Linked DNA regions of Anolis sagrei. The protein of the gene in region 4 interacts with the protein of the main gene of each other region in a biochemical or structural test. Links are inferred from orthologs where the notes say so. Each region holds a gene or a part of one and is shown on either strand. Other genes may lie near its edges.

Region 1 (7,520 bases), on a different chromosome or scaffold from region 4:
GAATAAAATCTCACATTATCTGCTTTGAATTGGGATATATGGCAGTGTGGACTCAAATATTCCAGTTCAAAGCAGATACCATGGGTGGTCCACGTTCGCGTTACATCGCAAACAAAATACTGCAATACACTCTATGTGGGGTTGCCTTTGAAGACTGCTTTAGAAGCTTCAACAAATCCAATGGAAGGCAGCCAGGTTGCTCACTGAAGCGGCATACAGCCCCTCTGCTATGCCAGCTCCACTGGTTGCCAATCTGCTACTGAGCACAATTTAAAGTGCTGGCTTTAGCCTATAAAGCCCTGAACAGTTCTGGTCCAGCTTACCTGTCAGGACGTATCTTCTGTTATGAACCATCACAAAGTCTAAGATCGACAGGAGAGGCCCTGCCCTTGGTCCCACCATCCTCGCAAGCGCGTTTGGCGGAGACAAGAGACAGGGTCTTCTCAGAGGCAGCCCCTCGCCTGTGGAACTCTCTACCCAGTAACATTAGATTGCCCCCCTCCCTCTTGTCCTTGAGAATGAAACCCAAAGCCTGGTTATGGGACTAAGCATTCAAACAGTAGAGGCAGCAGTTTAGAATGAGGTCCAATTTGTGTGAAGGACAATGTACTGACCTGGACTATGATTTCAAATCTGCGTGTTTTAAACAATATTTTAGTAATTTTATGTTTTGATTGCTTTTATCATTTATTACTGTTGTTGTCATTGAATGAATGCCTGTTGCGAAGCCGCTCCGAGTCCCCCTCTGGGGGTGAGAAGGACGGCATACAAATATGCGAAATAAATAAATAAATAATCTGGCTTAATATCCTTCCTATTGGCCTGCATCAATAGGAGCATAGTGTCTAGATCTAGGGAAGTCATGTTACCCCTCTATTCCGCTTTGGTTAGACCACATCCGGAATACTGTGTCCAATTCTGGGCACCACAATTGAAGAGAGATATTGACAAGCTGGAATGTGTCCAGAGGAGGGCGACTAAAATGATAAAGGGTCTGGAGAACAAGCCCTATGAGGAGCGGCTTAAGGAGCTGGGCATGTTTAGCCTGAAGAAGAGAAGGCTGAGAGGGGATATGATAGCCATGTATAAATATGTGAGAGGAAGCCACAGGGAGGAGGGAGCAAGCTTGTTTACTGCTTCCCTGGAGATTAGGACGCGGAAAAATGGCTTCAAACTACAAGAGAGGAGATTCCATCTAAACATGAGGAAGAACTTCCTGACTGTGTGAGCTGTTCAGAAGTGGAACTCTCTGCCTCGGAGTGTGGTGGAGGCTCCTTAGAATCATAGAATCATAGAATTGGAAGAGACCTCATGGGCCATCCAGTCCAACCTGCTGCCAAGAAGCAGGAATATTGCATTCAAATCACCCCTGACATCTGCCAGGAAGTAGCAGCCAATAGTGAAAGGACCAAGGCAGCAACATCTCCAGCTCATCCCTTGTTTGGGTATCAGCCAGCACGTCAACGACTTAAATCAAGAAATAGTTTTCTTAGATATACAGAGACACTCGCTGGAACACCTCAGCAAGTGAGAATCCAAAAGTGGCAGGCTCAAATCCAGCACCTCAATCCGTAGGTGATACCAGATGAGAGACTCCCTCCTGGGCACACAGAAGACTGGGCGACTTGGAAGGCGCTGAACGGACTGCGCTCTGGCACCACGAGATGCAGCCACCCTTCAGAAATGGGGCTACAAAGTGGAATCCACGACATGCGAGTGTGGAGAAGAGCAAACCACTGACCTAGGTTCTTGTAGGTTTTTTCGGGCTATAGGACCATGTTCTAGAGGCAAACCACTGACCACCTGCTGCAATGCAACCTGAGCCCTGCCACATGCACAATGGAGGACCTTCTTGCGGCAACACCAGAGGCTCTCCAAGTGGCCAGCTACTGGTCAAAAGACATTTAGTCAACTACCAAGTTTGCTTTTTTATCTGTTTGTTTGTTTTGTTCTGTTAGAAATGTAATACAATGGTATGGTTGCTGATGACACGATGAATAAATACCCCTGACAGATGGCCATCCAGCCTCTGTTTAAAAGCTTCCAAAGAAGGAGCCTCCACCACACTACGGGGCAGAGAGTTCCACTGCTGAACGGCTCTCACAGTCAGGAAGTTCTTTCTTTGGAAGATTTTAAACAGAGGCTGGATGGCCATCTGTCGGGGGTGCTTTGAATGCAATATTCCTGCTTCTTGGCAGGGGGTTGGACTGGATGGCCCATGAGGTCTCTTCCAACTTATAATTCTAGGTGGTATACAAATGCGGCCAATAAATAAATAATGTACATTGATGGTTAGGTTCTTGTAGGTTTTTTCGGGCTATAGGGCCATGTTCTAGAGGCATTTCTCCTGACGTGTCGCCCGCATCTATGGCAAGCATCCTCAGAGGTAGTGAGGTCTGTTGGAAATAGGAAAATGGGTTTATATATCTGTGGAATGACTGGGGTGGGGCCTGCTAGAGCTAGGTGTGAATGTTTCAGCTGACCACCTTGATTAGCATTGAATCGCTTGGAAGTGCCTGGAGGGAATCTTTGTTGATAGACAGCTCTCTGCTGAAGCTAGGTGTGACAATGTACATTGAATTATTAGGTGTACCACACGAAGATTACCAATCTATGAACACGAGGCTAGAAAGTACCGCTTGAAGAGCCCTGGAGTGAAGGGAAAGAATCTGGAAAAACATCCCAATACAGAGGAATGAGAAAAGAGGAATGAGAAAGAAGCCTATTGATTAGCCTTGAACCCACCTGCCAGGAGTGGCGTGGGAGGCGCCATCTTGAGCCGGATCCGGACCTTCCTCTTCCGGGTCGCGGGGAGGCGGAGCTGGACACGTCTCTCTCTCTCTCTCTCTCCTCCGCCAGCTCAAGAGCCGTGGTGACGTGTACCAACCCGAAGGGAGGGGCGCGGAGTTTCCCAAAGTCACGCGCACCCAAAGCAAGCCTCGCTATTGGTCGGCGAACACGGATAGGAGAAGAGCGCGGGGAAGGTTAGGAAATAGACTCTCCCCCGAGGGGGAGGGGGCTACTTCCGAGTGGCAGCTGGTGACGCGCTTCCGGAAGGCGGGGCCTGCGTGAGAGGGGCAGTTGCTGCTTACGCGGCGCCTTGGCTGGAGGCAGGTCCCGCTCGGAGGGAGCAACAGCAAAGATGGTGGCCAAGCAGCGCATCCGGATGGCCAACGAGAAGCACAGCAAGAACATCACACAACGCGGGAACGTGGCCAAGACCTCGGTAAGGGCGGGTGTGGAGGGGACAGGCCATCTCAAGCAGGCCTGGGCCAAGTTGGGCCTTGCAGGGGTTTGGGACTCCAACTCCCATCATTCCTAACAGCCTCAGGCCCTTTCCTTTCCCCCCTCAGCCTCTTAAGCGGCTGAGGGGGAAAAGGAAAGGGCCTGAGGCTGTTAGGAATGGTGGGAGTTGAAGTCCCAACCCCCTGCAGGGCCCAACTTGGCCCAGATCTGCTTTCTCCTCTTCTTAATCCCCTTCTTCTTCCTCCTGATCCCTTTTGATAACTTCCTGACTGTGAGAGCCGTTCAGCAGTGGAACTCTCTGCCTCAGAGTGCGGTGGCGGCTCCTTCTTTGGAGGCTAGATGGCCATCTGTCAGGGGTGCTTTGAATGCAACATTCCTGCTTCTTGGCAGGGGGTTGGACTGGATGGCCCATGAGGTCCCTTCTTCTTCCTCCTTCTCCTTTTTGATAACTTCCTGACTGTGAGAGCCATTCAGCAGTGGAACTCTCTGCCTCGGAGTGCGGTAGCGGCTCCTTCTTTGGAGGCTAGATGGCCATCTGTCAGGGGTGCTTTGAATGCAATATTCCTGCTTCTTGGCAGGGGGTTGGACTGGATGGCCCATGAGGTCTCTTCCAACTCTATGATTCTATGATTCTGGCTCTTCTCCCCACAGAGAAACGCCCCGGAAGAGAAGGCTTCGGTGGGGCCCTGGCTGCTGGCGCTCTTCATCTTCGTGGTCTGTGGATCCGGTAAGTGAGTCGTGACAGGGTCAGAAGAAGAAGAACTTTATCTTTCTACTCCATCTCCCTGAAGGGACTCGGGGCGGCTCACATGGGGCCAAGCCCAAGGCAAAATACAATTAAAAACAAAACAATAGATAGAAAGTATTGCACTGTATGCAACAAACATTTCCAAATGGATGTCTACTTAAATAAAATAAAAATAATTGAGAAAGATTTCAGCAAGGGGAAAAAAGCAATAACAAATTTAAAAAGCATAAAACAACATAAGAATAATAAACAAGCAACAAAAGCAACAGCAGATGGAGGTCTGTGGATCCAGTAAGTGAGTCGTGACAGGGTCAGAAGAAGAAGGACTTTTATTTTTCTACTCCGCCTCCATCTTCCCGAAGGGACTCAGGGTGGCTCACATGGGGCCAAGGCAAAATACAATTAAAATCAAAACAATAGATAGAAAGTATTGCACTGTATGCAACAAACATTTCCAAATGGATGTCTACTTAAATAAAATAAAAAACAATTGAAGAGAAAGATTTCAACAGGGGGAAAAATAACAAATTAAAACAGCATAAAACAACATAACAATAATAAACAAGCATCAAAAGCAACAGCAGGCTAATTTTGGAGAGGCAGGGAAGGAGGACCACTATGCAAACTGGTTAAAGGATAAGGTGGATCAAAACATATAATAGCGTTAAGATCATCTGGAGAGGCCCTGCTCTCGATCCCACCACCTTCGGAGTCGCGTCTGATGGGGATGAGAGACAGGGCCTTTTCTGTGGTGGCTATGGAATTCCCTCCCGAAGGAAATTAAATCTGCCCCCTCCCTCCTGACCTTTAGGAAGCTAGTGAAAACCTGGCTGTGGAGTGAGGCGTTTGCAGAATGATGGGTGAGACTGATAATCGACCAAAGTATTGACCACAATATACGGACTGAGTTGGACATGTTTTTTATCTTGGCGAACTGCTTTTGTGTATTTATTTTATATATATTGGTAATTTACTTTTGTTATATGTTGTCTTTGATTTTTACTGTTTAGCATTGAATTCTGGCTGTTAGCTGGTCTGAGTCCATCTACAGAGGTAGAGAAGATCGGGATATAAAAGTTTTAAATAAATAAATAAATAGCATAGGAAATAGCATGGAAACAGAGCAATTAAACAGGATCAATTCAGCATAACTTTAAAAATATATAGAAACGTAATATAGGAATTCAGATTCATGTCATGATATAGATCATTTGTCATAGGGGTCATCAGTCAAATGCACAACGAAACATCCACATCTTTAATTCCGTATGGAATGTGGGTAGGGTGGGTGCCAGCCTATTTTCCCTGGGGAGGGAGTTCCAGAGATGAGGGGACAGTGAAGGTGTGTGTCAAGGCTTTCTGATACCTTTTATTGATATTGAAGTTCATATTTTAACACAACAACCCTACAAGATGCATGGGGCAACTTGAGCACTCTGGGTGTTTTGGTCTGCTGTTAGGAATTGTGGGAGTTGGAGTGCAAAATATCTGGAGGGCCCAAGTTGGTCCCGGCCTGCAATTGTTGACATCCACACATTTAGAGTGGGCCTCCTGGTGGCACAGTGGGTTAAACCACTGAGCTGCTGAACTTGCTGACCGAAAGGTCAGAGGTTCGAATCAAGGGAGAAGGGTGAGCTTCTGCTGTTAGTCCCAGCTTCTACCAACCTAGCAGTCCAAAATCATGCCAATGTGATCAATAGGTACTGCTTCTGCGGGAAGGTAACGGTACTCCATGTAGTTATGCTGGCCATGTGACCGACTGACAACATCAGCTTTTCGGCTTAGAAGTGAAGATGAGCACACTCCCCCCCCCCCCCCCTAAACTTAATGTCAGGGGAAATCTTTACCTTTTACACATTCAGTGATTGATCTAATTTATTAGCCTTACCACATGTGCAGGTGGTGGCATCAACTCTATTTAGAAAACTGAAAGAAAATTGAGCTGTAGTTTTTAAGTATTCATGGAGAAGAAGTGCTAGATGATTGGTTCCACAAAACATAGCTTCAGGCCTTATTATTATCAAATTCATTTATACCCCACTCAAAGGTTAGCTGGGGAGGCCCTCCTCTCAATCCCATCCCCCTCACAAGTGAGGTTGGTGGGGACAAGGGAGAGAGCCTTCTTGTTAGTGGCCCCGCGCCTTTGGAATGCCCTCCCCAAGGAAATTGGACAAGCACCCACCCTCATAACTTTCAGGAAGGAGTTGAAAACCTGGATGTTTAAGCAGGCTTTTGATGATGGCTAGGAGCATTAACCACCCTATCGAACAGGACTTTAAATGGTTATCAGAACTATAACTTATAATGCTGGATACCCTTATCATAGGAATTGGCTGCTTTTAAAGAGTGTTTTATATGTATACTGTTTTAGAGGGCTAAATAGTATTTTAAACTGTTTATTTTTGTTCACAATACTGTACCATTTTGTTTTATTAATTGACATGCGATTATTGTTTGATATATCATTTACTGTATTTGCTGTTTTGTTGTAAACCACCCCGAGTCCCACCTGGGAGAGGGGGCAGGATATAAATAAAGCTTATTTTTATTATTTGTCTCCCCCGCAGGGAGCTCAAAGCAGCTTAACATAAAAGCATCCGCATATCCATTTCAAATATACAGATGTTAAAATAGGATGAAATATAAATAGCATTTAAAAATTCCCAGTAGTGGTTGGAAAGATCCTTTTTCCTCTCAAGGAATTCTAATACTGTAGTTTACTAGTGATCAGTAGAAAGTGTGTGTGAAGGGAGAATTCAGGAGGGCTCGATAGAGAGTGGCAGGTGATCTATCCTGGGACCTCATTTAGTGTAATGGAGTTACAGCCTCAGTGTGAGTTGCAACAGCAATGACTGCTTTGTTACTCAACTCTGTTTTAAGAAATTTGCACTTCATACGTCTTCATCTGTCCACATTCCCCTAGTAACCACCTTCCCTATCATTGACTTTATGTAGGTCAACAAGAATAAGTGCACGAGTGAGACTTGCATGTAAGGATTGTAGAATTTCCTATCATTGGAAGATGTCGGTTAATCTCACAACTCAGTGGAATTCACTTCATAATAAACACATTCATATTTGTGCTCACTATGATTTGAGACTTCCCTGTTTAAATAGCCAAATCACCTGCAAGGTAGTCTTCCTGCAATTGGGTATCTTTGAAAAAAAAGGCTTATGCAAAGCAAGTGTTCTAAACACTGTCATTAAGAGTGTCATGTGCTTAGTTGATCTCTTTAACTGTAGCAACGTCAGCTTTGTATATCCATTGAGACTAATAACGGTATAATAATATTGGGTTTTATTATTTCTCTCTTTGGTTTTACACACGTGTTGAAAATAAAAAAGGCCTAACCAAATTATGTTAAAGGAAAAAGCTTGATATCTTATGATAAAGTCTATTTTAGCAACTCCCATTCATGATAAGATCAGAAACAATTATTTTAAAATAACTATAAGTGAGCTATAAATAGTATATCCATATTTTATGGTAAGGAAAGGAATAAAATCATCTTGGTAAACCTTGCTA
Region 2 (7,175 bases), on a different chromosome or scaffold from region 4:
GCTTAGCATTACAAAAAAGTAAAGTAACAGCAAGAAAAAATACTCCCATCATATAGAAATTAAGACTAAATTGGGAAATAAAAAGGGATCTCTAAGGGCCCTTCCACACAGTCCTATATCTCAGAATATCAAGGCAGAAAATCCCACAATATCTGCTTTGAGCTGGGTTAACTGAGTCCACACTGAGATAATGTGGGTTTTTCTACCTTGATATTCTGGGATATAGGGCTGTGTAGAAGGGCCCTTAGTTATATGAGTCAATAACTGTGGGATTTTACTCAGCTGTGTAGAAGGGTCTAATATAAGAGAAAGTGGAATACCACTTTGAGTCTAAAAGAGAAAAGCTATATATAAGTAGTAATAATAATCTATTTAAATAAAATGTAATGTTCATTTGTGGGTTTGACATAACTCAAAAACTGCTGGATAAATTGACACAAAATTTGGACACAGTACACCTATCACACCAACAAGTGACCATCACTCATAAAAACACTGAAAAACACAATAGAAGGGACTTAAAAGGCCAAAAAAGCAAAAAGACGCTACAGGGCATGCCCAAAAACAACTCCCCTGGCAAACAAAACACACAAAAGCATATCCACACTCTCTTTCGGACTACAGCTCCCAGCATCCTCTAAACCAGGCCCTTTAGGAGAGGAGGATGATCCAAATGCACCGCTTCCAAGATACAAGCTTTCTTCTCCTTGGATTTCTTTGAGAGCATCCCAATCCCTGCATATTTCCAATTTCCTATTCCTGGACTGCAACTCTCAGCAATCCCCCAGATAGATTCAGATGGAGATAAATAGGTAGATATAGATCGATTGATCAAGAGGACTGCTGGGAGTTGCAGTCCAAGAATAAGTAGAGAAGGAAGAAAAGGGAGAAAGGGGAAGGGAAAGAAAAGGGGGGAAGGAAAGGAAAAGGAAGAGAAGGAAGAGAATGAAATAAAAAAGGGAAGGAAGGAAAGAGGGAGAGGAAGGTTGGCCACAGCAATGCGTGGCGCGTACAACCAGTAATATCAAAACAAAGACATTAATCAAAGCTATTACTACTGCAAGACTATATGCATTATGAAAGTAATGTTAATATAGTATGGTTGTTATTATATTATTCTTTGGTATTATGTAAGTTGAGCATCATGGCCCAAAACAACCCTCATAGCCACATGACGGTCTCTCTTGTCCACAAAAGGAAGGAAGCTGAGAAACTAACAGGATCTCACTGTAACTTTTGTAACTTTCTGAATGTTTGCTAACCGTTTATGTGCTAAGAGGCCACACATTATATTTGCACTACAAATCCGTATTCATGGACCTCAGAACTTACTCACACTAGCAAGCCTTGTCTTACACGTGATCCTCCAACTCAGAGTTTTTATGTCACTTTCCTTTGATGTTCAAAAGACCTTCAATAACATCATCCCATTGTTACGATTGATATTCCCATTTTACATATAAAGCAGCAAGACCAGAAGTCATTGTCGTCTGAGAATGAGAATGACGTTGGAAGAGATTGGGGCGAAACAAGGAAGAAGGATGTCAACTGGGCACTCCCTTAGGTGAACGGCTGAAATCCTAAACACTTACAGGGAACAGGATTCAAAGACATGGGTGCATCTGCACTGTTAATGCAGTATAGTATCACTTTAACTGCTATGATTAAAGTGGTATCGTCCTGGGAGTGAAATCCTGGGAGTTCTAGTGTGATGAGGCACATAGAAAAACTACAATTCCCATGATTCCACAGCACTGAGCCATGGCAGTTAAGTGGCACCAAAATGCATCCATTCTAGAGCAGGCCTGGGCAAACTTTGGCCTTCCAGGTGTTTTGGACTTCAACTCCCACAATTCCTAACAGCCGATAGGCTGTTAGGAATTGTGGGAGTTGAAGTCCAAAACACCTGGAAGGCCAAAGTTTGCCCAGGCCTGTTCTCAGGTATAGATGGAATCATAGGAGTTATAGTTTTATAAGGCCTTTCCCTGCTTGCTGGTGCCTCCCATAAGGTCATAGCATTGAGTCATGCCAGTTCAAGTGGTGTCAAACTGCAATAATTCTACAGTGTGGATGCACTCATACATAGGAATCCTATCGCACATCTCAAGTCTCTTCCTGAGCCTTTCCAGGACCAGGAAGAAGTCCTGCTTCCTAATGTAGACTTCACACCATGTAACTATAGCACTTTGAAAACATCTGACGCAACGCTGGGATTTGTATTTGGCGAGGGAAACAGAATCCCCCAGAGTTTCCCAAGCTCTGGCCTTCTGAGTGTTTTGGACTTCAGCTCCCAGAATCCCTCACCACTAGCCACAGCAGCTGAGGCTTCTGGGAGTTGAAGTCCAAAACACGCTTAAGACCAAAGTTTGTCAAATCACCGAATACTATTAAAACTTTCAGGCAAAGAAGTCTTAAGTTATTATCATTCGTCAAATTTCAGAGCCTAGAATTCCACGGGAAACAGCCAAGGGAGTTAAAGCGGTATCAAAGTGCTATAAATGTGAGGTGTGGGCACATCTATACCATACCACGAAGACTCCACTTTAACTTGGGTTTTGTACTTTGGGGAAGTTTGGTTTTTTGCCAGACCTTGTAAAACTACATTTCCCAGGATGCCATAGCAATGAGCCATGGCAGTTAAAGTTGTGTCAAACTGCATTAAGTTCTACAGTGTAGATGCACCCTAGACCTCAATCCACACATTCAGGGAGCGACCCCAAAAGGCTGACAGAGGATAAAGGCAAATGCAGTCTAAGTTAACCTTGTCCCAATTGATTTCCCAGGAAAAGAACCCCTCTCCCCCTTCCCAGCCTCCTCACCCTCAAAGTGGAGGTCCCACAGCGTCAAGAGTAAGGGCAGCGCCGAGGCCAGCTTGTGCACGCAAGCCCGGGGAGAGACCATTGCTGCGTTCCCACGTGCGCCGCCCGACCCGCGTCAAAGTGGAGTTCGGGACTCTTCAACTCTCTCAACATTCTCAGCCAGGTTCCTGGGGCTGGGTCGTGGGAGCCGCTGATTGGCCGCGCCGCCTCAAGCCCCGCCCCCGGCTAGGGGAACGTGGAGAGCAGGAGAGCCCATGGTCAGCGGGCCCCGCCCCCTCCTCCCCGGGCATGCGCGTTAGGAGGCGTTGAAGCCGGCGCGGACGGACGTCAGCTTGCCCTCTCTTGGGAATGAAGTTCCTTTCAAGCTCTGTGACGTCAAGGAGGGCGACACCAGGGCGCTACTTTTGAAAGTTTGACGGTGTTTGCTTCCAAGTTGCACAGAATAAGTCTTGAAATAACAATGGTTGCCTCTACACTCTAAATTAATGCAGTTTGACACCACTTTCACTGCCATGATATCATGGGAGTTGTAGTTTTACAAGGCATTTAGCTCGTTCTGCCAAAGAATGTTGGTGCCTCATCGAACTACAGTCTATTCTGCCTTGGTTAGACCAGACCTGGAATATTGTGTCCAATTCTGCGCACCACAATTGAAGAGAGATATTGACAAGCTGGAAAGTGTCCAGAGGAGGGCGACTAAAACGATCAAGGGTCTGGAGAACAAGCCCTATGAGGAGCGGCTTAAAGAGCTGGGCATATTTAGCCTGAAGAAGAGTAGGCTGAGAGGAGACATGATGAGGGCCATGTATAAATATGTGAGAGGAAGCCACAGGGAGGAGGGAGCAAGCTTGTTTTCTGCTGCCCTGGAGACTAGGAAGCGGAATAATTGCTTCAAACTACAAGAAAGGAGATTCCATATGAACATTAGGAAGAGCTTCCTGACTGTGAGAGCCGTTCAGCAGTGGAACTCTCTGCCCCGGGGTGTGGTGGAGGCTCCTTCTTTGGAAGCTTTTAAACAGAGGCTGGATGGCCGTCTGTCGGGGGTGATTTGAATGCAATATTCCTGCTTCTTGGCAGGGGGTTGGACTGGATGGCCCATGAGGTCTCTTCCAACTCTTTGATTCTATGATTGTACAAACCCCAGAGTTCCATAGCAGTTAAAGTGGTGTCAAACTGCACTCATTCTCCAGTGTAGATGCATCCCTTTGGGATGGTGACCTCATTCAGAAAAAAAATGTTCCATATTGTGGGATTTTAGAATACTGATATATCTTGGAAATGTCTAAACACAAACTGCTTTTACAATTTAAACGCACAGCCTGAGAGTAATTTCATACATAATATTTGTGTAACTTTATGTTAAACAAAGCTTGTACATCTTAAAGCATAAGAAAGCAAAGGTGTTTCTATCTCAGCCAGCCATTTGGACTGTTTAGGAATATTTCGGAATTCAGGATCAAGGGCTCTAAACTTGTATTCTTAATACAAAGTCTCCGTCCAGGAAAATTACATACAAACTCATAAGAAATCAATGGGATGTGATTAACTTATATCACACTAACCTCATTCGTTTCAGAAAGACTTGAGGGTAGCGATTTTGTTGGAGATCGCAACCTTCTCAAGCCTCCTCTATTTAATGTTATGTCTGTTTATAATGTGTCGTTTTATTTCCCAAAGTGTATGTCTACTTTGTATTGTCGAAGGCTTATGTCTACTTTGGTTTGCAGTTTCCTTAGCTCTATATACTTGAGGCAGTGCGAGGGGCTGCAGATCACGGGACTGTTTATAATGCATTTTAAACATGATAATAGTTGAGGAATGACAGCTAAGTCTTGAGTCAGCTTGAGTACAGAAGTCTGTTTTTCAGTCAGATGTCAATGTAGAAAGTTAGAAAACTGTTGAAGCTTGAATTCTTCAATAGTAGACTGTTATGAAAGAGAACTGTACAGAACAATATAGTTTTTGAAAAGACTATTAAAGACAATAAGTTAAAGATACAAACCAAAATGTTTTAAAATTTAACATGACAAGAAATGTGCCTGTATATTTTAGTACATGAAGCTATGAGTAAACAAACAAGCTATTTTTAAAGAAGTCAATTTGAATCTTTGTCTGCTGAGAGCACTTAATAGAAACTATGTGCCTAGCGACCATCCATTACTCAATAAGCTAGAGGAACACCTACATAACTCTGCGAACCAATAGGTTATGATCCTAACAGGTCATGAACCATAATCCCCAGTAGGTTGTGATCCTAACAGGTCATCATCCATTATCCCCAGTAGATTTATTGAGAAACAAACCCTTGGATTTCTGTAGATCTGCGTGGGATTATAGTGTAATTTTCTGGAGAAGGACTGAAATATATCAAGATGTGAAATAGCCTTAAATTCTTTGATATTCATTTTTAAACCAGTCTGTTCTATATTTTAAAATACGTACAACCACTGCTTATTGCCAGGAAACATCCCTTAAAAGCTGTCTTCAACCCCAAAAGGAAGCTCAGGTCCCATCTACACTGCCATATAATGCTGTTGGAAACTTGCATTATATGCTCAGTGTAAACTCATATAATGCAGTTTAACTGCATTGAACTGTAAATCACTTCTGACGTGAGAGAAATGGCCATCTGCAAGGACATTGCCCAGGGGATGCCTGGATGTTTTACCATCCTGTAGGAGGCTTCTCTCATGTCCCTGCATGAAAAGCTGGAGCTGACAGATAGGAGCTCACCCTGCTCCCCAGATTAAAACTGCTGACCTTTCAGTCAACAGTCCTGCCAGCACAAGGATTTAACCCACTGTGCCACCGGGGGCTCCCATTTGCTGCTTACACAAATACACAACCTGTCTTCATTCTGTGGCATATATCCTTTTTACCGGATTAATTCAACTAAACCAGCTTGCAGTTGGAGTCATTAATGTAAGGTAAAGCCAGACTGAATTGTAGTAAACTTGGAAAGAACAAATTTACTACAGTCTGGGAAAATAAAACACCAGTCAATATAAAGTTCAGTTCTTAACAATGTGGTAAAACAAAACACTGGTCAAAGAAAACATATGGAACAACAACTAAAAAGGAGCCATAGAAGACTTCTTCAATACATGATTGTAGTGGCAAGACTGTTGTGTGCCTAGACTTAGAAGAATATATTCATAGCCATGGAGGGAAAATGGTCACTGAATGAGCTACCAGAAATGGATCCAATCTCAATTTGATTCAAGAAAAATCAGTAGAGACTTTTTGAAAAAAGATTGCTTAAAAAGCAGTTTGAAATTACTATATATTTTATTTCTTCTATTCACTTTTTTTCAACATTTCTCCCTGCCTTTTTAAGTTATTACTTGTGAGTGAACTTTTATTGTATTTGGGAAAAAAATAATAAAATAAAAAGGAGCCAATGGTTATTCTAAAAATATTAATGCCACTAATAACCACTAGAGGCCACTAAAATATCCTAATAAATAGTTGTGTACTGAAGGCATTAGTGTTCTATGTATGAACAAGCATTTGTTTGCATGTGCCTTTAATCCCCATGTCAACTTATGGTAATCGTATGGATTTCATAGCAAGACATACTCAGAGATTGTTTTACCATCTTCTTCCTGTGAAATATCCATAGTACCTGGTCTTTGTCCAAGTATTAACCAGAGTTGAACATGTTTGGCTTCCAGGATCAATCAGATGCCTTTAGGATATTTACTGCTGGATAAACAGGACCATGAACTTCACACGGTGTTGCATTTTTGGTGATACTACAATACTACTGCTGGTACTTTGTACTTAGACCTAGAGTTTTCTCCTACATCAACCCCCCCCCCCCCCCCACTCACCCCGCTTACCAGTAGCTCCAACTCAGTATCAGGTTGCCTGTAATTTGATTATTAAATTAACAGATGTACCACTTTTTAGAAAAATTCCAAAATACGATGTGCACAAATTAGCCAGCAAACATCACACTAGCTATCCATGCACATCTACTGACCATGGCATCTGTCAAATATATCCAAGACAGTAACTAAAGTGGCCTAAGTCATCTTCTTGTTTGAAGCAAAAGATTACGGAAACTAATCAGACTAGCAGTTTAATTTTATTTCATCACTAACCGTCCCCTGCCACACATTGCTGTGGCCCAGTCTGTGTATATGTGTTTTGTGTGTGTATATATGTGTATGTATATATGTGTGTATATGTGTATATATGTGGTTTTGTGCATAAGTTGTAATGTTGTTTTTTTAGTTTTTGGCTTTTTAAGTCTCTTCCACTGTATTTTTCAGTGTTTTTATGAGTGATGGTCACTTGTTGGCCTGATAGGTGTATTGTGTCCGAATTTGGTGTAAATTTGCCCAGTGGTTT
Region 3 (6,871 bases), about 140 Mb from region 4:
CAAATCACATGTCTATTAAGGACTTTCATTCATATGCCTTAGAGCCCTTCCACACAGCCATATAATCCAGAATATAAAGGCAGAAAATCCCACATTATCCGAGCATTGTAATGCTAGTCATTAGTGGCCTCCCATCCAAGAATGGGATGGTCATCTGTCGGGGGTGTTTTGATTGTGCTTTTCCTGTGTGGCAGGGGGTAGGGCTGGATGCCTGGTGGAGTCACTTCCAACTCTATGGCCCAATTTACACTGTAATACAAAATCCAGATTATCTGCTTTGAACTGGATTACATGGCAGTGTAGACTCATAAAATCCAGTTCAAAGCAGATAATCTGGATTATTTGATAACTTGGATTATAGGGCAGTGTAGAACCAGCCTTTGAACTGGATTAATGGCAGTGTAGACTCATAAAATCCAGTTCAAAGCAGATAATCTGGATTATTTGATTTGATAACTTGGATTATATGGCAGTGTAGATCCAGCCTATGATTCTAAACAGGGATGATTATGTTCAGCTTCCAAGATCTGGAAAAAAAAAGAAGTGAAAGGAAAAGAGAAAAAGATATGACTGGAGGCAAAGAAACAAAGGAAAAGAAGGGGCCTTCCACACAGCTGTATAAAATCCACATTGAACTGGATTATATGACAGTGTGGATTAAGATAACCCTATTCAAGCAAATATTGTGGATTATCTGCTGTGATATTCTGGGATATAGGGCTGTGTGGAAGGGAAAGAGAAAGAGAAAAAGAAAAAGAAAGAGAAAGGGGGGGAAGAAAGAGGGCAGAAAGAAGAAAGAAAGGAGAGAGAGAGGAAGGAAAAAAAGAAGGCAAGAAAGAAGAGAGGGGAATGTGTATATGGTCAGCTTCCAAGATCAGATGGGATTGGGAGGAATATGTCGTTTTAATACATAGGACCCTTCTTGACTGCCATAGAAGAACAAGCCCTATGAGGAGCGGCTTAAGGAGCTCGGCATGTTTAGCCTGAAGAAGAGATATGATAGCCATGTATAAATATGTGAGAGGAAGTCAAAGGGAGGAGGGAGCAAGCTTGTTTTCTGCTTCCCTGGAGACTAGGACGCAGAACAGTGGCTTCAAACTACAAGAGAGGAGATTCCATCTCAACATGAGGAAGAACTTCCTGACTGTGAGAGCCGTTCAGCAGTGGAACTCTCTGCCACGGAGTGTGGTGGAGGCTCCTTCTTTGGAGGTTTTTAAACAGAGGCTAGATGGCCATCTGTCTGAGGTGCTTTGAATTAATACAGTTCCTCATGTTGTGGTGACCCCCAACAATAATATTATTTGTGTTGCTACTTCACAACTACAATTTTGCTACTGTTATTAATCATAATATAAATATCTGATATGCAGGATGTATTTTCATTCACTGGACCAAATTTGGCACAAATACATGATATGCCCCAATTTGAATACTGGTGGGGTTGGCAGGGGATTGATGTTGTCATTTGGGAGTTGTAGTTGCTGGGATTTATAGTTTACCTACACTCAAAGAGCATTATGAACTCCAACGATGGAATTGAACCAATCTTGATACAGAGAACTCCCGTGACCAATAGAAAATACTGGAAGGGTTTGATGGGCACTGACCTTGTTTTGGAGTTGTAGTTCACCTAGATCCAGAGAGCACTGTGGACTCAAATAATGATGGATCTGGACCAAACTTGTCATGAATACTCAACATGCCCAATGTGAATGAACACTGGTGGAGTTTGGGGAAAATAGACCTTGGCATTTGAGAGTTTTAGTTGCTGGGATTTATAATTCACCTACAACAGGGGTCCTCAAACTAAGGCCCGGGGGCCGGATGCGGCCCTCCAAGGTAATTTACCTGGCCCTCGCTCAGTCTAAGTCTGAAAAGACTTGAAAGCACACAACAACAACAATGCTATCTCATCAGCCAAAAGCAGGCCCACACTTCCCATTGAAATACTAATAGGTTTTTATTTGTTAAAATTGTTCTTCATTTTAATTATTGTATTTTAAGTGTTTTTGCACTACAAATAAGATATGCCCAGCGTGCATAGGAATTCATTCATTTTTTTCCAAATTATAATCCGGCCCTCCAACAGTTTGAGGAACTGTGATCTGGCCCTCTGTTTAAAATGTTTGTGGACCCCTGACCTACAATAAAAGATCATTCTGATCCCTAACAATGATAGTATTGGGCCAAACTTCCCCCATGGAACCCTTATGACCAACAGAAAATACGTTTTTGCATGGTTTTTGGCGACCCCTCTGAAACCCCCTCATGACCCCCCCCCAGGGGTCCCGACCCCCAGGTTGAGAACCACTGCAATAGAGACTCCTATAATCCAGTTCAACGCAGATAATATCTGTTTTGATGACCTAGATGATAATGGCAGTGCAATGAGGATATAGTTCACCCCATGTGTCTTGAGATGGCGAATTGCACAGGGTTTCCTTAGGGAGACCGCGAGGGTGCACCTAGAATTAATTGCATTTGACCCCATGGAATGCTGGGAGTTGTAGTTTCACAAGGTACTCTTAAAGCGTGGTGGGAGGGGGGGGAGTGAAATCTCCTCGCTTTTGCATTCGTGGGTGGACGGTCTCCCGCCTAAATCCTAACCAGGGTGGGTGATACTTAGCTTGCAACATCAGATTGGGGATTTTTGGGGGGTGGGGGGAGAGAGATGCAATGAATGGGAGCAGCGAGAGCAACCCCCTCCCTCCCTCCCTCCGTGCTTCTCTCCACGCGGGCGCCGCCCTTGGCTCAGACCTGGTGGGGGTGGGAGGCGACTGCGATGGCGACGGCTGCTTCTCCGCCTCGGCCTGGGTGGCGGGCTCGGCGCCCAAGCTGCCCTCCTGGGGCTGAGCCGCCGCCACGCCGCCGCTCCCTGCCTCTTCTTCTTCCTCCTCCTCTTCCTCCGCCTTCTCCTTTTCCGCCTCCATCGCTTCTTCTTCTTCTCCTTCTTCTTCCTGGCCGGGAAAGCCTCCCTCGGTTCCCTCCCTCCCGCGCATCACGTGTGTTTCCGGGGCCAGCGCAGCCAGGCGGAGCCAAGCCCAGCCCTCCCACCCCAGCCAGGCGGCCACTCCACCCTCCTCACGCTGCCACCCCTTAAGACGCTGCCTCGTCTTGTGCTGACACCCCCCCCCCCCCAAGCGTAACATTATTTTCGTTGCTACTTCATAACTGCGATTTTGCTTCTGTTATGAATCGTAGTGTAAATACGATTCATAACAAGCCAATGGGATTTTGGCCTGCATCAATAGGAGCATAGTGTCTGTCTAGATCTAAGGAAGTAATGCTCCCCATGCTCTATTCTGCTTTGGTTAGACCACATCTGGAATATTGTGTCCAATTCTGGGCACCACAATTCCAGAGAGATATTGACAAGCTGGAATGTGTCCAGAGGAGGGCGACTAAAATGATCAAGGGTCTGGAGAACAAGCCCTATGAGGAGCGGCTTGGGGAGCTGGGCATGTTTAGCCTGAAGAAGAGAAGGATGAGAGGAGATATGATAGACATGATTAAATATGTGAGGGGAAGCCACAGGGAGGAGGGAGCAAGCTTGTTTTCTGCTTCCTTGGAGACTAGGACACGGAACAATGGCTTCAAACTACAAGAGAGGAGATTCCATCTGAACACAAGGAAGAACTTCCTGACTGTGAGAGCTGTTCAGCAGTGGAACTCTCTGCCCTGGAGTGTGGTGGAGGCTCCTTCTTTGGAAGCTTTTAAACAGAGGCTGGATGGCCATCTGTCAGGGATGATTTGAATGCAATATTCCTGCTTCTTGGCAGGGGGTTGGACTGGATGGCCCATGAGGTCTCTTCCAACTCTTTGATTCTATGATTCTATGAAATACCTGATAGGCAGGATGTCTTTTCATTCACTGGACCAAACTTAGCACAAATGATCAAGGGTCTGGAGAACAAGCCTTATGAAGATGTTTAGCCTGAAGAAGAGAAGGCTGAGAGGAGATAGGATAGCCATGTATAAATATGCCATGTATAAATATGTGAGAGGAACATGATGGCAACAGTCTTGGACAGCAGTGGCTCCCAAAGTGACCCATTTAAGGTCAATCAATCAAAATAGTTTATTGTACGGGCCCAAGGCAGTTAACCCTTAAAATCTCCTTGGCAGTTGATAGCAATTTTATCTAACTCTGTCTTTCTGATCTTTTTTGCAGAGCGAGCAAAAAGGGCTACTTTGTAGGTTACATAGTCATTTGTATCGCCCAGTAGAAACTGCACTGTTTCTGCAATAGAGTTCCCTTCATCTTGTGTCAACAAGGGTTTCAGGTGTCTTTCCCTTGGGTCGCTATACAATGGGCAGACTAACAGGTAATGCACAATGTCTTCTACCTGACATTGACTACAAATACATAGTCTGTTTTCCCAGGGAACATTTTGGTAGCGACCATCTAACACTGCGGTTGGCATCAGGCATCACTTGAAATCGCAGCTCGGTGAAGGCGGTTCTCAAGGAAGGAGGCTTGAGCGTAACCATTTAAGGTGGAATCGGGTGTCAAACAGGGACGTGTTATCGCCCCGACTTTATTCTCCATCTTCATCGCTATGATACTTCACCTTGTTGATGGGAAGCTTCCCACCGGAGTGGAAATCATCTAACCCTCCCCCCCCCCCCCACCCCAATGAATGCATCCTTAATATTTTAGAAGTTTGGGTTTATTATTATTTTAATAAACTCTTAACAGAATGGAGATCTGGAATAGCGATGATGATGAAGAACAAACTTTATCCTTTAGACCAGGGATATCAAACTCATTTCCACTGAGGGCCACATTAGCCTTATGGTTGACTTCAAAGGGCTATTTAATTCATGGACAGAGAATCAGTGGATAAAGAGAGCCCAGCTATACAGTTTTTTTACATACTGGTCAGTGCTCTTTAGTTTTTACTCAGTTTGTGTCCCCAGATGTTATTGAACACCAACACCCATCACTTTTGATTATCCACCATGCGGACTGGGGATAATGGGAATTGCAACCCAACAACCCTTGTGGCTCTAATATTGGGGAAGGGTTAAATGACATTTTAAAGTCAGGCATTATATCCACAACCCCAATATCCCGACTAAACAGAACAAACTGCAGCCTTTCAGGTGTTACTGTACTGTAACTCCCATCAGCTCGAGTAATTGTGTCTAATGATGAGTAATAAAAGAGTTGTAGCCCAGTATCTGAAGGAGCACATAAAGTGGCATAGTGGTGTGGATTTAACTCATGTGCCTAGAGTTGACGCATATGTTACTGAAAACCAGATCCCCAAAAGGATAAACCCTAGAGTCCACAGCTCCATAGGGATTGATAGGGAACCCCTTGTTGACAGGCAACAATAATATTAGGTACAGGTCTGTGGCTGTTCATTCTGGGGTCGATTAGAGGAAAGAATCTGGATAATTGGTAGGAAGAATAAGGCCACATTCGACAATGTGTAGGGCTGAGTTAGAACTGGTCATTTTCAAAGGCTTGTTGAAAACACCAGGTCTTCAAGCTCTTACGAAAGGAGGGGAGGGATGGGGCCTGCCTTATTTCCCTTGGAAGGGCGTTCCAGAGGTGGGGGGCAACCACTGAGAAGGCCCTCAGTCTTTCATTAACCAACCCCCACACACACACACACAAATGTTGCATAAGCACCATACACGTCTCAGACCTCAGCGAATGTCTACACAATAGTTGCATAGTCCTCTTCACAATACCCTGAGATGACACACGGAAAGCATAAAGGGCTTAGAAGTGAGCCATGGGGTGATCTCATTCTATTCTTGAGAATGTTTTCTCACCTTTATTGAAGTTGGACCCCCTTCTTGGGGTCCCAGTTGAATTTGCCCACACCCTGACCTCCCTTTTATTTACCTCACTGGCACCCATTGTATTGACTAGAGCAGAGATATCAAAGCCCATCCCAGCCCATTATCCCTTGCCATATCACATTTCTTTCCATGCGCATTCTTCTGATGGGCGGATCAAGAAGCCTTCAAAAATAATCCAAAGACAGTTTATTAAATTTCCCACCATTACCAGAGTCAATCAGTGAAGAAGAAAATGGAGAGGGATCCTAGCTGGTGCCACTCTAGATGAATCAGTAGCCTACGTGGCAATGTGCCTTTGTTTTGAGTAGCTGTCAAACATTAAAAAGAAATCTGTTCGCAGTTGTATGTCTTTCTTTGGAGCGCAGATTCTTCTGGTATAAATGTTGACCAAGATTTATAAATGACTCTGATTTTGCCTTCAGTCTATCTGCATTTTATTCAGTCCTTTGGTGGCTTGACACTCAGGGATCCGAACCCACGATTTTAGCAGAGCACATGTGCTTTAGATAGAAAGGGTGTGAACCCCCTCTTTGCTCATACTTTGCTGGTATTCTGGCCCTCAGTGGAAAATCTTAGATTTCTTCACTATTTTTCATGACTATGTTGTATATTGCCTTTTTTTTTTTTTTTTGGCAGCCGGGGGGGGGGGGGGCAGTTGGAGAATGTAGAAGTCTACAGAAACTGTGCCAGTACTGTCCCTCCTAAACTAGAATGTGATCACAACTTCTTCCCAGTTACACCCACTCTCTGTTATGTTTTAAAGCAGTGTTTCTCAACCTGGGGGTCAGGACCCCTGAGGGGGTCATGAGGGGGTGTCAGAGGGGTCACCAAAGACCATCAGACAACACAGTATTTTCTGTTGTCATGAGAGTTCTTTGTAGGAAATTTGGCCCAATTCTATCGTTGGTGGGGTTCAGAATGCTCTTTGATTGTAGGTGAACTATAAATCCCAGCAACTACAACTCCCAAATGACAAAATCAATTCCCTGCCCAACTCCACCAGTATTCAAAATTTGGATATATCGGGTATTTGTGCCAAATTTGGTCCAGTGAA
Region 4 (7,229 bases):
TCTTTAAAAACTAATCATTTATATAAATTAACACTAGCAGTGAATTAAATACTACCTTCCCAACATTGATGACAAATTAATTGCACATTAATAAGTTGTCATATATACACTGACTTTCATAGAAAGACTTTGAGTTCATGCTGACCTTAATTTTTTCTGGACGTCCAAACTCAAGCAGTTGAAAGTTATTCGGGGGTGAAATATCCTTGTGAATTTCTGCCACCATATCATTTAAAATATATAATGACCAATTTGTACCTGCAACATAAAGGCAAATGAGTTCCATATGGCTTCCAAAAACATAAGACACACAGAGACAAGAGTACAGTCAGTGTGCCAACGTCTGTGCTAAATTATTGATATTAAAATAACTAGACTTTAATAATTTTAACAATCATTTAGCATTTTGCAGATTAGCAAAGAACAGTCTTGGGATGACATTCTCCCTCCTCATACTTTGTGTATCTAGTTTTTCCCCCTTAGGTGAGGTAAACCATTGTTTGCCATTTTATCCTTTCCCAGGATTGCAAATTCTGATGGATGAAATGACGAATTCTTAAAGCAAAAATCACTGGGCTGCATTTATAGCAGATAAGAAGACCACGAAGCAATTGAGGATATGATCCTGAGGCCACTTTTCTTTTGGCTTTATGCCTGAACTCTCTCTGAAGCTCTGAAATGCACAGCATTTGTTTGAAGTGGAGGTATTGTTTACAAGAGAAGCTATTGTTTGTATAAGAGCCAGTGTAAAAAAGCAATATTGATCAAAACAGATTTCAGAAAATACTACACTGCCGGAAAAAAGGTTCCACCTTAACTTTAGGAAGAACTGGAGGTACTGTTTGCAAGAGAAGCTATTGTTTGTATAGGAGCCAGTGTTAAAAAACATGTATTGATCAAAACAGATTTCACAAAATTCTACACTGCAGGAAAAAAGGTTCCACCTAAACATTAGGAAGAACTTCCTGACAGTAAGAGCTGTTTGCCACAGTGGAACATGCTGCCTGGGAGTGTGCTGGAGTCTCTGCCTCTGGAAGTTTTACAGCAAATACTGAATGGCCATCAATCGGGGGTGCTTTGATTCTGCATTCCTTCCTGACAGAATGGGGTTGGACTGGATGACTCTGGTGTCTTCCAACTCTATGATTTTAAGAGGTTTGAGGTTAGCAGCCCATGACCAGTTACTTGAACATGGAGCAAGAAGGTGTGTATTGCTTAGTTAGTTACATAACCTGGGGATGATCAGTGGGATGTGGAGAAGGATTAGAAAGATACAAAATGGGCTACTACAGACATCTGACAAGCATAACTTTGCTTGTAGATGTAAACATGGATTCTGGCAACCCAGCCTGAATGTCTAACTACTGATGATATCACATTAGAGCAGTGGTTCTCAACCTGTGGGTTCCCAGGTGTTTTGACCTACAACTCCCAGAAATCTCAGCCAGTTTACCAGCTGTGAGGATTTCTGGGAGTTGAAGGCCAAAACATCTGGGGACACACAAGTTGAGAACCACTGCATTAGAGACTTCTAAATTGCAGGCCTGTGTTTCCCTATTGCCTGGTTTGCTTCTGCAGAATTCTGGGAAGCCAAGGACCTCTAGCTCAGAATTTCAAAGGCTCCGCTCTAAACTATATTCCCTAGAATTCTGCAGGAGCAAACTGGTTCAGAGGGAAACACGGACCTAATCTGTAGAGCTCTAATGTGATCTTGTCCTTGGTAACAGAAAGCAACATTGTACAGTTGTCTCTCTACATTTGTGGGTTTTACATTTGTGGATCTGATTACCGTATTTCACCATTACCGTATTTCACACGTTTTTATCCCTTTTTGGATTAAAAAAGGGAGATACAACTATTATACAGCGGAGGAAAAAATCCAGCATTAGAGCCTCTCTTGGCCAGTAGTCGAGTGAAGTCCCATAGGCAGTTACATCCTGAGCAAGTGAACTAAGAGCATGACTATTATGCAGAGAATACTAAAATTCCCATTTTGCCACCCTGAACATGGGGGTGCAACTAAGATGCAAAGGCAACTGTTATGTGATTATATGCAGGAATTTGTATATTAGATTAATATGTTCTTTCTAGGTATCTCATACTTCCAGTATGTCTGTATGGCAAATTTGGCCACAGAGTTGCACTAGAGGAATAAGACATTTCTAAAGAGATGTTCTCTCAGTTAAAAAGTAATGCATTTTTAATTCAGTTTTTCCACCTTTGCACCTCTAAGCCCAGAAAATGTAGAAGACTGACTATACTTCCAACTGAGCAGGAAAGAGATGGCACCTGCCATCAAATAATAATCAGCAGGTCAGGTATTAATTTCCTCTTAAAAGACTACTCACCACATTTAGGATAAGCCACTATCAAGACATCATCCTTTCTGGCTTCCATGGTTTCAAGAGCTTCAAAAGTCTCAACTTTACAAAGCCGACTAGGATACAGGACTCCTTTGTACGAAAATAGCAGGTCATCATCGTTATCCTTGTCATCCTCTAAGAACTTCTCTACAAATTCTGCAAAGCCACTTTTTTCCTTTGCCATCCTTTCTTCTCACTGGTGTCTTATTCAGATCCCTTCTAAAGAGGAGATTCAGTTCGGTGCTCTTGGACACTCTTTATTGCTCAGCAAAGGATATTTCACAGAAGAACAAAGTCCGGAATTACATAAGCTCACACCCTGGATTCCAGTTCAGACTGGCTATTAAGACTATCTGGCTTTATTTGTTTCTATAGCAAAGTATTGCTTAATATTTTGCTGGCTGAATAAAGTTATTTTTTGGGAGGAGATATTACTCCTGAAACATGATTGGAACACCAGGGGCTCCAGAGGGTGAAGTAAATAGGCTAACTGAAACCAAGTGGATGAAATAAAGAGATCTCTGCCCCTTTAAGGGATGACTATGATGCTGACACTTTCCTCAGTTTGGCAATGTTAGGCACTTCTGTAACAGGATCTTTCTAATCTTTGTCAGTTACGAGAAGTCTTCTTTATGTGTTCCAGTACTGAACCAAAAGAATTTAAAATACAGTTAAGATATGCAATAAGATTAGACTTCCTAAAGCATAACATGGTTCTGTTACTGGCATACTTTGGCAAGCATTTCACATAAATTGCCTTTAAAAATATTTTTGCATTGTGTTCTAAAGTTCAGCACATCTCCCTGGGGAATTTGTTTAACTTTGTTCTACAATTTTGAGCCCAGAAGATTAGAGTTTCACACCCAGCATTCCTGTAACCTTTTGGGCTGCACAGTTTGAGAACTTCTGCTTTGGACCATCTTGGAGTCTGCCAGGGCTAAGAGAGTCAATACCTTCTGTTTGGAGAAGAGCAGCAGATTTGGCTACTGTTGCTTGTCCCTCTGCTTGGTGGTCTTCAAGTTAACATCTGCCTGGCTAATAAAAGTTAACATTTGCCTTTATCCTCTGGTGGCCTGCCCTGTGCAGGAAGGATGTGTTTTTCTAAGGAGCGAGAAAGTCCCTAGATTCGTGGGGTCAAACAGAGCAGGAGAAGATGCGGAAGGGGGAAACAGGTTCAACACAAACAAAAGAGGGAGCGAAATAGAATGCATACTACTTCCAAATTGTCTCCTATATTTAATAACCTGGATAACTAAAGGAGGCCGATACCCATAGTAGATTTGCTTTGGTAACATAATAAGAAGAAGTGTACCCCTCCCAGTAGAGAAGGAGCAACACATCAATGGCAGGGTGGAAATGTGTGCTCTGCAATAGAAAAGCTAAGTGTAAAGATAAGGCTTGCTGAACAGAGTTGAGACTTGGGCTGGGCTGAAATTTGCCCCAGAAAACATGTGCAGTAGAATCTTGATAGATAAGAAAAACCTATATAATGTGTGGTCAAGGGGTGTGGTACACGGCAACCTTTTTTAAAGTACTGTGACCTGCATGTGCAGTACGGCTGACCCGTCTCCTTATGGCCATACTGGAATAAACCTTGCTTTTGCTCTTCTCCTGAGCCTAGACATTTTTGTCTGTTTGCCTCCTGTGATTGGATCTTCAACAGGAGCTCAGATTTGGGGTCCCTTACATAAGCAGGGTGACTGTCCCCCTAGGTTGAAAATGCTGCTGCTAAATGCCAGGTCAGTCAATGGGAAAATAATGCCATCCAAGGCGTTCAGGCCTAGCTATAAAACAGAGACAGCATTGGTCGCCTTGGTGGATGACCTACAAAGAGAGCTAGACAGGTGGAGTGTGTCCCTGTTGGTTCTCCTGGACCTTTCAGCTGCTTTTGATACATTGACCATGATACCCTTCTGGGTCCTCTCTATGGGCCGGGGCTGGTTTTACAGTGGCTCCGGTCCTTCCTGGAGTGCCATACCCAAAAGGTGGTCCTGGCCGCTGTGCTGTGGGGTTCCTCATTGTTCCATTTTGTCCTTCATGCTGTTCAACATTGTAGAGAAATGTTTATTATAGAGTGTTTATTATACTGTATTTAAACTGTATTTAGGTTTTACATTAGTTGCTATGGCCTAACTGTGAGGGATAGGTTGCCATGGTAACACAGCCTCAGAGGAGGTGGGCGGAGTTTAAGGAATAAAAGGTTTGAAAGCGTCAGTTAATATTCAGTCCGGTGGATGAGACCCGGGGAAGAGGTTCAGAGTGTTGTGAAGCTGTGAGAATTCAGTAGTTCTTAGAATTTGTGAATATTTCTTCAGCAAGAGAGCTGAAGGTGTTACCTTGTTAGATTGCTTAGGTTAAAGAATCTAACAGAGGGGGTTTAAAGGATCGCCAGTAAGGAAAGACTGGTGATCAGTGGTTTGTTCCGAGTATAGGGCAAACAGTGTGGATATTCACAATAGGGAACTCTGAAGTAGTATAAGCACTTCACTAAAGAAGGAGTTTGTAGAATTGTAACATCAGAAGCCTGTATGTATCTCAAACCAGCCATTTTGTAACATCAAGCCTTGTGCCAAGTTCAAATTCTCAAAACTGCAACAATTACGTTCTGTTGACAATAAAACTTGTTCTCTTTGTATTTCAAACCTGCCTCCTCCATTGCTTTTATGCTTGGTGCATTCCACACTACCAAAGTCACCTCACAACACAACTAAAGATAAACAGAGACATAAACCAGCGTCTCTAAACATATTGGTGGCAGTTTAATTGATATCTAAAAGAAGGTTCCTCACAGAATATTGGTGGCATTAAAGAAGATTAATGCTTCCTCACATAATTTTTGTTGACAAGCGGTGGCATTAACGCTTCTTCACATAATTTTGTTGACAAGCGGTGGGATTAACGCTTCCTCACAAACATATACATGAAATTGCTGGGAGATGTCATCCGGGGTTTTGAAGTATGGTGCCACCTATATGCAGATGACGCCCAACTCTACTACTCCTTTCCACCTAAAGCCAAGGAAGCTGTCCTGACCCTAAACCAGTGTCTGTCATCAGTAATGGACTGGATGAGGGCAAACAAACTGAAACTTAATCCAGACAAGACAGAGGTGCTTTTTGTCAGTTGGAAGGTAGACCAGGGAATAGAGATCCAGCCTGTGCTGGATGGGGTCTCACTCCCCCTGAAGACACAGGTCTGCAGTTTGGGGATACTTCTGGACTCAAAACTGGAACTGGAGCCCCAGGTTTTTGTGTTGACCAAAATTACAACTTGTGCACCAACTGTGCCCATTCCTTGAGAAGCCAAGGTGTGGTACATGCTTTAGTTTTATCCCGTCTGGATTACTGTAACGTGCTCTATGTGAGGCTCGGAAACTTCAGCTAGTCCAAACAACTGCAGCCAGGGTGCTAACTGGGAATGGCTGCAGGGAGTAGACAAACCCCCCTCCCCATTGCAGCAGTTCCACTGGCTGCCAGTCTGTTACTGGGCACAATTCAAAGTACTGGTTGTGACCTTTAAAGCCCTAGACAGTTCAGGTCCAGGCTATTTGACTGACTGCATTCCCTTGTATGAACCTGCCCAGGCCCAGGGATCTTCAAGCAAGGCCCTTCTCTTGGCCCCACCACCATCTCCAACTTGGTTGGTGGGAATGAGAGAGAAGGCCTTCTTGGTGGCTGCCCCTCGACTCTGGAACTCCCCTCTTCCTAGGGAAGTCAGACTAGCCTCCTCCCTGCTGTCTTTCCGGCGGCAGGCTAAAACCTTTTTAGTCAAACTGGCATTTGAAGATGAAGTCAGAGGATGCTATGATGTTTAACTTGGAATATGTTTGATGGGTTTTAATTAATTTTTCAAAATACTGTTTGTGTTTAATTCTGTTTTAATGTTTCTATATTTGTATATAATAATAATAATAATAATAATAATAATAATAATAATTCCTAAAATAAAATTAATCTTGTCAGGAGTTATAAGACTGCATTGCTGCAGGAGATGCAATCCATATACTGATAAATTATTTAACTGTTGTAATCTTGTTGTCAAAGGTGTAAATGTAGACCACACCTTAGCAATACAAACCTACACATCTACTCAGAGATAAATGCTCTGATTTAAACAGGATTTATACCTTGGTGGGAGGAAAAAGGATTGCAGCCCTGGGTGGCAAGAGCATGAAACTGGAAGGAAAAATACATCTAAGTAATGCAGGGTTTTTCTGCTACACTTGATGATCTGCTCAGAGCTTATGTAAGTTGCCTTTTGGACCACAACTCCCAGAATCCTCCAGTAACTACAATTTTGGCTTCATTGTCTGGATATTCTAGGCCTTGTTGTACAAAACGAAACTCAACTAAATTTGACCATCTACTCCAACCAGTTAGCGATAAGCAATAAGAAGATCTGCAACCACTTTTCTGATAACAGCTTGTCAGGTGCCTTATCCACACTCAGTAGAAAATAAAACAGAAGACCACAGGTGCTTTATATTAGACATTCTGTGTAATGTAGTTCTGAGATTACATAATTCTAAGAGCCCCACTGAGGAATTTCCTGGAACATCCAGGATAGGCCAGGTCCTGGACAAAGGTGGTAATCATGATCCATTGTGTCTGTGTACAGAACAAGTAGTTTCCTCTGCAACATCTGATAACTGCTGATCAGTACTCACTTCAGTTGAACTGACAGTGGAAAGGGGAAGTCACACATATTGGATCCCTTTATTTGACACCCAAAGCCTGAATGAAGATCATCACCTTTTGTCCCAAGGCTCCTCGCTGTCACCTTCCCCAGGAAACTTCCTCATCGCCCAATATCAGAACAATTAAACCAATCAAGGACTCATTTACATCTTCCAATATGGACATGGAC

Evidence for each region.
Region 1: of the proteins of EIF2AK2 (region 4) and EIF2A, one has a biochemical effect on the other in vitro, tested with the Homo sapiens proteins (4 studies listed by BioGRID, with this or other methods). The link is inferred for Anolis sagrei from reciprocal best matches to the Homo sapiens genes EIF2AK2 and EIF2A.
Region 2: the proteins of EIF2AK2 (region 4) and DNAJC3 form a complex in vitro, tested with the Homo sapiens proteins (2 studies listed by BioGRID). The link is inferred for Anolis sagrei from reciprocal best matches to the Homo sapiens genes EIF2AK2 and DNAJC3.
Region 3: the proteins of EIF2AK2 (region 4) and PRKRA form a complex in vitro, tested with the Homo sapiens proteins (3 studies listed by BioGRID and IntAct, with this or other methods). The link is inferred for Anolis sagrei from reciprocal best matches to the Homo sapiens genes EIF2AK2 and PRKRA.

Annotation. Positions count from the first base shown.
Region 1 is NC_090023.1:241,294,546-241,302,065, reverse strand, and holds the start of EIF2A (eukaryotic translation initiation factor 2A), read right to left. Parts: upstream 3,010-7,520; 5' UTR 2,774-3,009; coding exon 2,746-2,773; intron 1-2,745. Other genes in the region: SERP1 (stress-associated endoplasmic reticulum protein 1), read left to right, coding at 3,143-3,226, 3,898-3,973. UniProt on the Homo sapiens protein: Functions in the early steps of protein synthesis of a small number of specific mRNAs. Acts by directing the binding of methionyl-tRNAi to 40S ribosomal subunits.
Region 2 is NC_090023.1:126,802,167-126,809,341, reverse strand, and holds the start of DNAJC3 (dnaJ homolog subfamily C member 3), read right to left. Parts: upstream 3,017-7,175; 5' UTR 2,902-3,016; coding exon 2,820-2,901; intron 1-2,819. UniProt on the Homo sapiens protein: Involved in the unfolded protein response (UPR) during endoplasmic reticulum (ER) stress.
Region 3 is NC_090021.1:189,757,459-189,764,329, reverse strand, and holds the start of PRKRA (interferon-inducible double-stranded RNA-dependent protein kinase activator A), read right to left. Parts: upstream 3,015-6,871; 5' UTR 3,000-3,014; coding exon 2,758-2,999; intron 1-2,757. UniProt on the Homo sapiens protein: Activates EIF2AK2/PKR in the absence of double-stranded RNA (dsRNA), leading to phosphorylation of EIF2S1/EFI2-alpha and inhibition of translation and induction of apoptosis.
Region 4 is NC_090021.1:51,152,947-51,160,175, reverse strand, and holds the start of EIF2AK2 (interferon-induced, double-stranded RNA-activated protein kinase), read right to left. Parts: upstream 3,025-7,229; 5' UTR 2,548-3,024; coding exon 2,349-2,547; intron 259-2,348; coding exon 146-258; intron 1-145.